Linked DNA regions of Drosophila melanogaster. The protein of the gene in region 2 purifies or fractionates together with the protein of the main gene of each other region. This does not show direct contact. Each region holds a gene or a part of one and is shown on either strand. Other genes may lie near its edges. The genes, in order: Br140 and elg1.

Region 1 (3,600 bases), on a different chromosome or scaffold from region 2:
CGTCCTTAACCGTGTCCATGGTCATGTAGAGGCCCGCTTGCTGTGCGCATGTAACGTGGAAGGCGGCGTAGCAGCTGTTCCGATGGCACTGGATGCAGGCTCCCAAGCCCTTCTCCTTGCACACGTAGCAGGTGAGTCGCCAACGAGCGGGGGGAATGGTCTCAATTGAATCTATAAAAAGAACTCAGATGTTATTTGGAACTGGGATCAAAGAAACTGGGAGATCGAGCTACGCACCTATTGGCTCCAGAAAGACGGTGTTGGCGAACCGCACTTCCGGTATCCAAAGCGCACACACCACGTGCGCCCACTGCCCGTGGTCCGTCTGCTTGAATGCGCCGCCCGCATTGGGACAGAGCACACAGTTCACAGGCTTACTGGGTGACTGCAAGCATCGGCGGCACAGCCACTGGCCCTCCGGGATATAGGGGACACCGTAGCAGTCCTGGTGTACCGCCAGGTTGCACATGTCGCAGAAAAGTATCACGTTGGTGTTTTGGCACTCGCCGTCGAGGCAAATGCAGCAGACTGCGTCGTCGTCCACCTCGACGCCTGTGGGTGTGCCGTTGGCCGCCGCCTGGAAGTGCGACTCCTTCTCCAGCCGGTCCATCAGCAGCTCCATCGTGTCGATGCCCACGGCGTTCAGGCCGAGTCGCTGGCGCTCCTCGTTCATGTGCTCCAGCCAGGCGGAGTCCTCCTCGTCAACGTCGTACTCCACCTCCCCGTCCAGCTCCTCCAGGGACTTTTCGATGAAGCGATAGTAGGCCAGCGGCCGTGGCGGGGCGTCGGACACTCGGTAGTCCGGAATCTCGGCCACCCTGGCCACGGGCACCTGGACCCTTGCCCAGGGCGCGTTCTCCTCCAGCGGTGGTGCGTCGGCATTCAGAATACAGCCCCTGGCCACTAGGGCGGCGAACTCTTCGTCCTCTACGAGCGGCAAGGCGTCGTCGATGCCCAGGCGCACGCTCTTCCCGTCCAAGTTAAACGTCACCGTGGCCTCCTCCTCGTTGTAGGACACCAGTGACTCTGGATTGGCGTACTGCCGGGCGCTGACTCCGCTCGCCGATCCACCTCCTGCGCTGGCCGAGGAGCAGCCGTTTCTGGCCTCAGCTCCACCGCCACCCGGCGTGGGGTGATCCTTGTGCGGACGAGGCGTGGAGTGGTGGCCGCCGGAGCGTGAGCGCGCCTTCTTGCGGCTCGGAGTCAGCACGGGCGTGAGCGGCTGTGGGTTGTCGTGGTCGTACTTCATAAGATGGTATTGCAGACCCATGATGGTCTTGTAGCTGCGGTCGCAGCCGCGGACGGGACAGGCGAAAGGCGGCTGGGACTGCTGGGTCTTCACCCCTTTGCAGTATTCCACTGCGTCGAAGTCGAGGCCCATGATCTGGATCTGCGGCGCGATCTGTGGATCTGCTGCAGCTGGCTTCTCGGGGTTTGGCGGTTCGCTGGTCGCGGATCGCGGGCACTGTGTCTACTCCGCGGCACGGCTGCGCATACGTATGTGCATCCCACGGTGGTCGTCGCAGAGCGCGCGGTTTTGGCTGTCCACCGTTCCTGGTCGATTTTCGTTGGCTTGTTGCAAATTTTTTAACAAATGTGCTAGAGATGGGCTTGCTGGTCAGCTCGCCATGGCGATACTATCGTCGGAAGTGCTTGTGCAGCACTGGACGTTTGCTGAAACTTGTTTGAAATATTTCCGGTCCTTTACGCAAATTAATTCTCTTCCGTAATCTATATTTATAATTTAAATGTTCCTTTTTGTTCTTTCCCTTACCATTTTCCCTCAAATTTGTTTACAATATGTTTTTTGGGGAGCCGTGCAGCACTGCTTTCTAGAGATGGTAGTGGCGGGAACGTATTGGAACTGGTTCACCTAATGTTATACTTTCAAAATTTACAGGGCTAGAAATCCAGTACGTAACTATTTAAATAACCCAATAATATTATTTTAAAGAATTCAAATAAATATCTCCCAATATTCACTCAAAAAACAAGTTTTGGTTGTGTTTTTCATTTTGCGCGGGAACTTTATCGCCCGTGCAGTGTTGGAAAGCAGAGGCATAAATGCGCCTTACAGCACCCGACGAGCTGTTAACTGTCAACAGTGCACAATTAAAGGCATGTTATCAAATGCTGACGCGCGTCGCAATTGCCGCCATTTGAAAAAAACGATAAAATCGAAGGAACCGAATCCGGATTTGCAGTTTGTCAGATACAGTCGCTAGATATGGAGGACATCTTGGGCGTGCTGGGCTCGCTTTCGGACCTGCGCAGGGAGCTCGAGGTCCTGCGCAAGGTAAGCCAGGATCAGGAGACGAAATTCCGACACTGTCAACATGGCGTCATATGTGTTTTTTAGGCCCACTTTGAGGAGCTGGACCACCTCTTCTACGGCACAGGCCAGCCGGAGGCGGAGGCCAAACCGAGGGACAGTGCTCCGGCAGCGAAGAGTCAGGAGAACTCTTCGGTGACGCCGCAGCAAACGAAAAAGCGCCCCAAGCGACTCACCTCACTGGCCGAGGATCAGAATGAGCCCGAGGGTGAGTATCCTGGCCATTTTAAAGCATTAACGACCAACAACCCCTGTGATATTCCATTTGAGCAGCTCCAGACGCCACGGCCAACAACACGTCGGCCCGTCAAAGCACTCGGGTCAGCAACTCCCAGTTGCTGGCTATCGCCGAGGACGAGCACAACTCCACGGCCTCGCTGATGCCGCCTCCGCCTGTGCCCGTCTCGGCGGACACCACCCTCGGCTCCGGAAGGCCACAGCGAGCCGCTAAGCTGAAGACCGAGAAATTACTCAAGGAGCCCTCACTCAACCGTAAGATGCGGCGGCCCAGCAGCGAGGAGCTCGTAAAGGTCAAGGTTGAGAGCGAGCAGCGAGTCTCCCAGTTTAACAGCTTCACCAGTGCACAGGCGTTAGAGGAAAATAAACTAGCGGAGCCGGAACTAGAAGAGCCAGCAGCAGAAACAGCTGAGCAGCAAAAGCCTCCGGAGGAGGCCTCAGTCACAGAGGACGTGAACACCACGAAGACACTCCGCGTGAAGGTAAAGCGCGAGAAACTCAGTACCGAAGCAGTGCCCCCGTTAACCAATGCGGTCTCCACGGCAAATGTGACCACCGTCTCCTCTGTAACAACGGAGGCAGCGCGACCGGACGATACGGTGGCCAGCAACACGACGACATCCACGGAGGTCTCCAAGAAGGTCCGCAAGAAGAAGAAGGACGTGGAAAGCCACCGACCCATAAAGGTGGAACGATTCAGCGACCTGGACAAGAGCTCGCCAGTCTCGTCGCGCACGCGCAAGTGTAGCAGCGATTCGCGAACGGTTCAGGAGCGATCCATATACAAGGATGCACTCGAAGATCCGCCCGTTGCAGAGCAATCAGTGGCTGCAGTTGCTCCGGCTGCTGTCAATGAGACCGTGGCGATTTCCAACGCCACCCTCGTACTGGGTCCTGCGCCGACGAGCGATAGTCCAATAGGACCAGCTGGAGATGCCACTTTTGAGGTGCACTCCAACGACAAGAAACAACCTCTGAGTAAGCAGGACAGCCTCTTAACGGAGGACGAGTCGGTGGAGGAGAAGCTGCCG
Region 2 (4,128 bases):
CTCCGTAAAGAGCAGCTCGCCATTCGGAGCGGAAGGCGGTGGTTTCGCCTCCTCTTCGTTCTGTGCCATATTCTGCTCCATTGAACGGCGAGTGCGACGTGTTACCACCAGTGATTCTCCCATTTGCTGCGTATCCTGTGCACTGTCAATGGCGCTGAAGTGGCGATACTTCTCCCTCATCTGGTTATAGCACTTAAAGGTGGGAAACCGATCGAAATCATTCTTCCAGAGCTTCACAAAGCCACGTTTATTTTCCAGCTGTGGCAAAGTTGCATAGTTGAACTTGTTCAAAGTTTTGCTGGATGTAAAATCCGCGGGCAGACAGCTGGTGATGCTACTCGCTTTGGCACGTCGTTTGTTGGCGGGTAACGCTTTCGTAACCTCGGAATATTCCTCTTCTGCCCTCAGAGCAAAGGGAATGTCCAGAGGACCGTTTTTTGAACCGAAGCTCTCGCAGCCTATATGCGCCAGTCTGGGAAACACTTCATAGCTATCTTCGTACATCTGGTCGAAGTTCTTTTGACGGATCTGCTCCTGTCGAATTTTGTCCGGAACTCCGGATTGCAGAAACGCCTGTCGAGCCTTCAAAACCGACGGATCTGGGCTGGGCTTTGGCAATTGACGGACGAATAGCGGCGCTAGTTTCTTTGGTGTGGCAGCTGGATTACTATTGTCTAGGTCAATAATCTCTACAGACTCGTCTGCCTTTTGGGGCTTCGCCTTTTGTTGCTTGCCGGGACTCGTTTCCAGATCGTAATCGTAGCGCGCTTTGCCCACACACGATCGTCTTGGTCTTGACGAGGGAGTGGATTCGGCTACAATGGGTGTCTCTTGCTGGCTCTTTCTGCGCAGTGTTCTTCGCTTGGGTGTCTCCATGGGTGGGGTTTCTATCGCAATGATCACCTTTTCAGCTAACTCCTTCGGGGATTCCACTTTGGGAAAGTAGCCCAGCAGGCTGTCACGCTTTTTCGTGGGCGACGAAAGCTTCGAGAGAAGCTCCTCTGTTCCTGGATCTTGATCTTTTGCTTTCACGACCGGGGGCTTCGATTCCACAATTTGGTTCTGTGCATCCATGGAACTGATTCGTCGAGAGCGCGGTCGACCTCTTAGACGCTTGACTGTTGGATCCGTGGGTGCCGAGGATGGAGCCGTCACCTCTTTGGCGTCAGTCTTGGTCAGCATTTTTCGCAGTCTAGGGAAATAAAATGTTGTATAGCGCTCTGAATCTAATTCTTAATCAAACTCACCTCTTTGCCCTTTGCTCCATCTGCAGCTCAATGAACTCCCCGCGAGCTTCGTCCGCTAGTCTTCTCTTGGCTCCCCCCTTGCGTTCGTTCCATTCTTGGAGGAGAAGCTTCCGTTTGGTGGTCGGCGTTGCTGCCTCACTGCCGATTTCTTGATCCGCGGGAGATTCTGCCCCACCTTCATTAACCCCCAGAGAGCGATTCCGAGCATTCATCATGAACTCAAAGACATTGGTGGTTGGCTTCGGTTTGGCTGTGCTCACCGGAGAAACACCCACGTTCTCCGGCTTTCCCGCCTTGGCGAAGTGCTTCATGATGCTCTGATTGTCGGCCACCGGAGTGCTGGACTTCAGCGGACTGGACCGCCGCCGACCGTTCTTGAGACCGTTTTCTTGGGAGGATTTCTCGCGAAGTGGCTGCGGTTTCTCTTTGGCATTCGCCTTGACCTCCTCGGTGGTGCTCTTCTGGTCCTCCATGAGTGCTGCGCGGCGCTTCTCCTCCCGCTTTCGCTTGTGCTTCTCCCGATGCTTCTGCTTCACCGAGTTCAGCACTTCCTCCATGTTCTGGAGTATCAGTTTGGATTTGGCGCTGGGCGGTGCTCTCAGAACGAACGGAGATGTGGGCTCGACGGGATCCGTGGCCGCATTTTTGGAGGGAGTTCCTGGTGGACTCGCAGTGGTCGTTGTGGGTGCAATGTGCTCACTTGTAAGACAATTTACATCGGTCATTTTTGTGGGTCTCTTTTGCTGTTTTCTTTTTGGGTTTAGGCTTAATGCATTTTGCTGAGTGTGTGCGTGTGTTTGTGTATGGTGTGGTATTCTTTTGTAAGATCTAAGTACTTAAGCAATTGATATATCTACAGATAATACGAAAGCCAAACTCAAAAGATCGCAAATGAAGATCGGGGGCAAAAGCAAAAACATGACAACAATACAATAATAATGAGATCTACCTTCGCAGCGACTTTTCGTTTTTCGTATTTGTTACACTCCCGCACACGCACACACACTGCCGCGATCGAACTGGTGTCCCGTTGATCGCGATCCTCTTTCTAACGGTACTTGGGCCTCAATATGTTATTACTTTCCGGTGTCTACTTTATGCGTTAAATATCATTTTATACAAGTTTGCTTAAGGTATAAATTGTTAGCACAATGTGCTGGGGGGAAAAAAGGCGCGAAGAAACGGTGTTGGTAAACAGTGGAGGGGTAACTATTTCCAGCACTGATCGGCCAGGCAGAAATTAATTTGTTGCACTCTCATTTATGCTTTTTAATAATTTGTTTGTAAATTTCTATTTTTACTTTGTGAAGTAATGATTTTATATTAATAATATAATTACCAAGACTAAACGGAATAATTATAAGGTTGTGTATTAGTAGAGAACAAAAACAGAATGAAATACATTTGTAGGAATCACCTAATATTTAATTATATTTTATATTATATTAATTATAATTATATTTGTTCTTTATACAATTTTATACATTGTATTTTATAGTTTTATTAAATATTCCCGCTTAAAAAATAAAATGTTGTTTCTATTTAAATTACCGCAGCTGTTGGTGGTAATTTAGATGACCTGATTCGATTTGGTATTATGGGAACTTTTCCAGATTTGGTCACACTGCCCTTTACACTGTTTTGGTTTTCGTGAAAATGTCCACATACTACTTTGTTATTGTGGGTCAAAATGATAATCCCATTTACGAGAAGGAATTCAGCACCGTGAACAAGGAACTAAGGGTATGTAGACCTGGGCAACGTCTCATAGAACTGTGTAAATACATTCTCCTTCTGCAGAAAGAGGACCACAGGCACCTCACCCAGTTTATTGCCCATGCCGCCTTGGATTTGGTGGATGAGCACAAATGGAAGACGGCCAATATGCAGCTGAAATCCATTGATAGATTCAATCAGTGGTTTGTTTCGGCCTTCATCACAGCCAGCCAAATACGATTCATCATCGTTCATGACAACAAAAACGACGAGGGAATCAAGAACTTCTTTAACGAGATGTATGACACGTATATCAAAAACTCCATGAATGCCTTCTATCGCATCAACACACCCATTAAATCTCCGATGTTTGAGAAGAAGTCGGAGATCTTTGGTCGGAAGTATTTGTTATCATAAATTTGTTAAAACCTGTAGCCATTAAGTAATTGTGTAATATAAAACTTGAAATAATTTAAAAGCATAACTTTACCCTTTCTTATACAGTTGAGAAGACCCGAAACCAATGAATAATCTAGTTTATATTTTATTTAATTTATTTAGAAAAGCAGCCTAGGCTTAACATTGATGGACTTGTTTTATTCACTTTTTACTCAATGCGCCCTCGAATCAAATCTAAAACGATTTAACGCCCGTCTCCAGACGACAGTCCCAGACTGGAGTAAATTAGATGTGTGGGTTGAATAGATGAACAACGCATGGAATCAATTTGAAACTAAAGCAACAAAATATACGGAATTTGTAATGGGTCTTTGCAAAGAAATCTCTTGGTGGTGGCGAGGAAACCGTCCGTCCTGCAGCTTAGTGCTTCTTGTTCTTTCCAGAGCGCTCATATTTGCTCTTGGACTGGTGCCACAGAGCCAGAGGAATGGCCAGGGAAGGCAGAGTCATCACGGCGAAGGCCACCCAGTCGAAGAAATGGGAGGAGAAGCGCTTGTTGTACTCGTTCAGGTTGACAATTCCACCCTCACCGGGCTCAGAGCTGACCGCCAGTTGGAGCTGCAAGAATTGTTGGGTATTAAGTTCTTTGATCGATCTTTCAACAGGTAACGGGCATTTTTAAAAGACTGTTGTGTATAAATTCACTTAGTTGAGATTATTAAATTTAAAAGTGAATGATTTTGGTTTGCTTTGGCGGTGGCTTCTG

What was found.
Region 1: the proteins of elg1 (region 2) and Br140 purify together in Drosophila melanogaster (affinity purification with mass spectrometry; 3 studies listed by BioGRID, with this or other methods). This does not show direct contact.

The regions. Positions count from the first base shown.
Region 1 is NT_033778.4:7,276,502-7,280,101, forward strand, and holds the start of Br140 (Bromodomain-containing protein, 140kD), read right to left. Parts: upstream 1,601-3,600; 5' UTR 1,382-1,600; coding exon 238-1,381; intron 172-237; coding exon 1-171. Other genes in the region: Incenp (inner centromere protein), read left to right, coding at 2,228-2,296, 2,360-2,540, 2,606-3,600. UniProt on the Drosophila melanogaster protein: Scaffold subunit of the histone acetyltransferase (HAT) Enok complex which has histone H3 acetyltransferase activity.
Region 2 is NT_037436.4:16,130,358-16,134,485, reverse strand, and holds the start of elg1 (enhanced level of genomic instability 1), read right to left. Parts: upstream 2,459-4,128; 5' UTR 1,973-2,458; coding exon 1,248-1,972; intron 1,193-1,247; coding exon 1-1,192. Other genes in the region: Trs20 (TRAPP subunit 20), read left to right, coding at 2,904-2,990, 3,048-3,380; SsRbeta (signal sequence receptor beta), read right to left, coding at 3,783-3,980. UniProt on the Drosophila melanogaster protein: Has an important role in DNA replication and in maintaining genome integrity during replication stress. Promotes PCNA deubiquitination.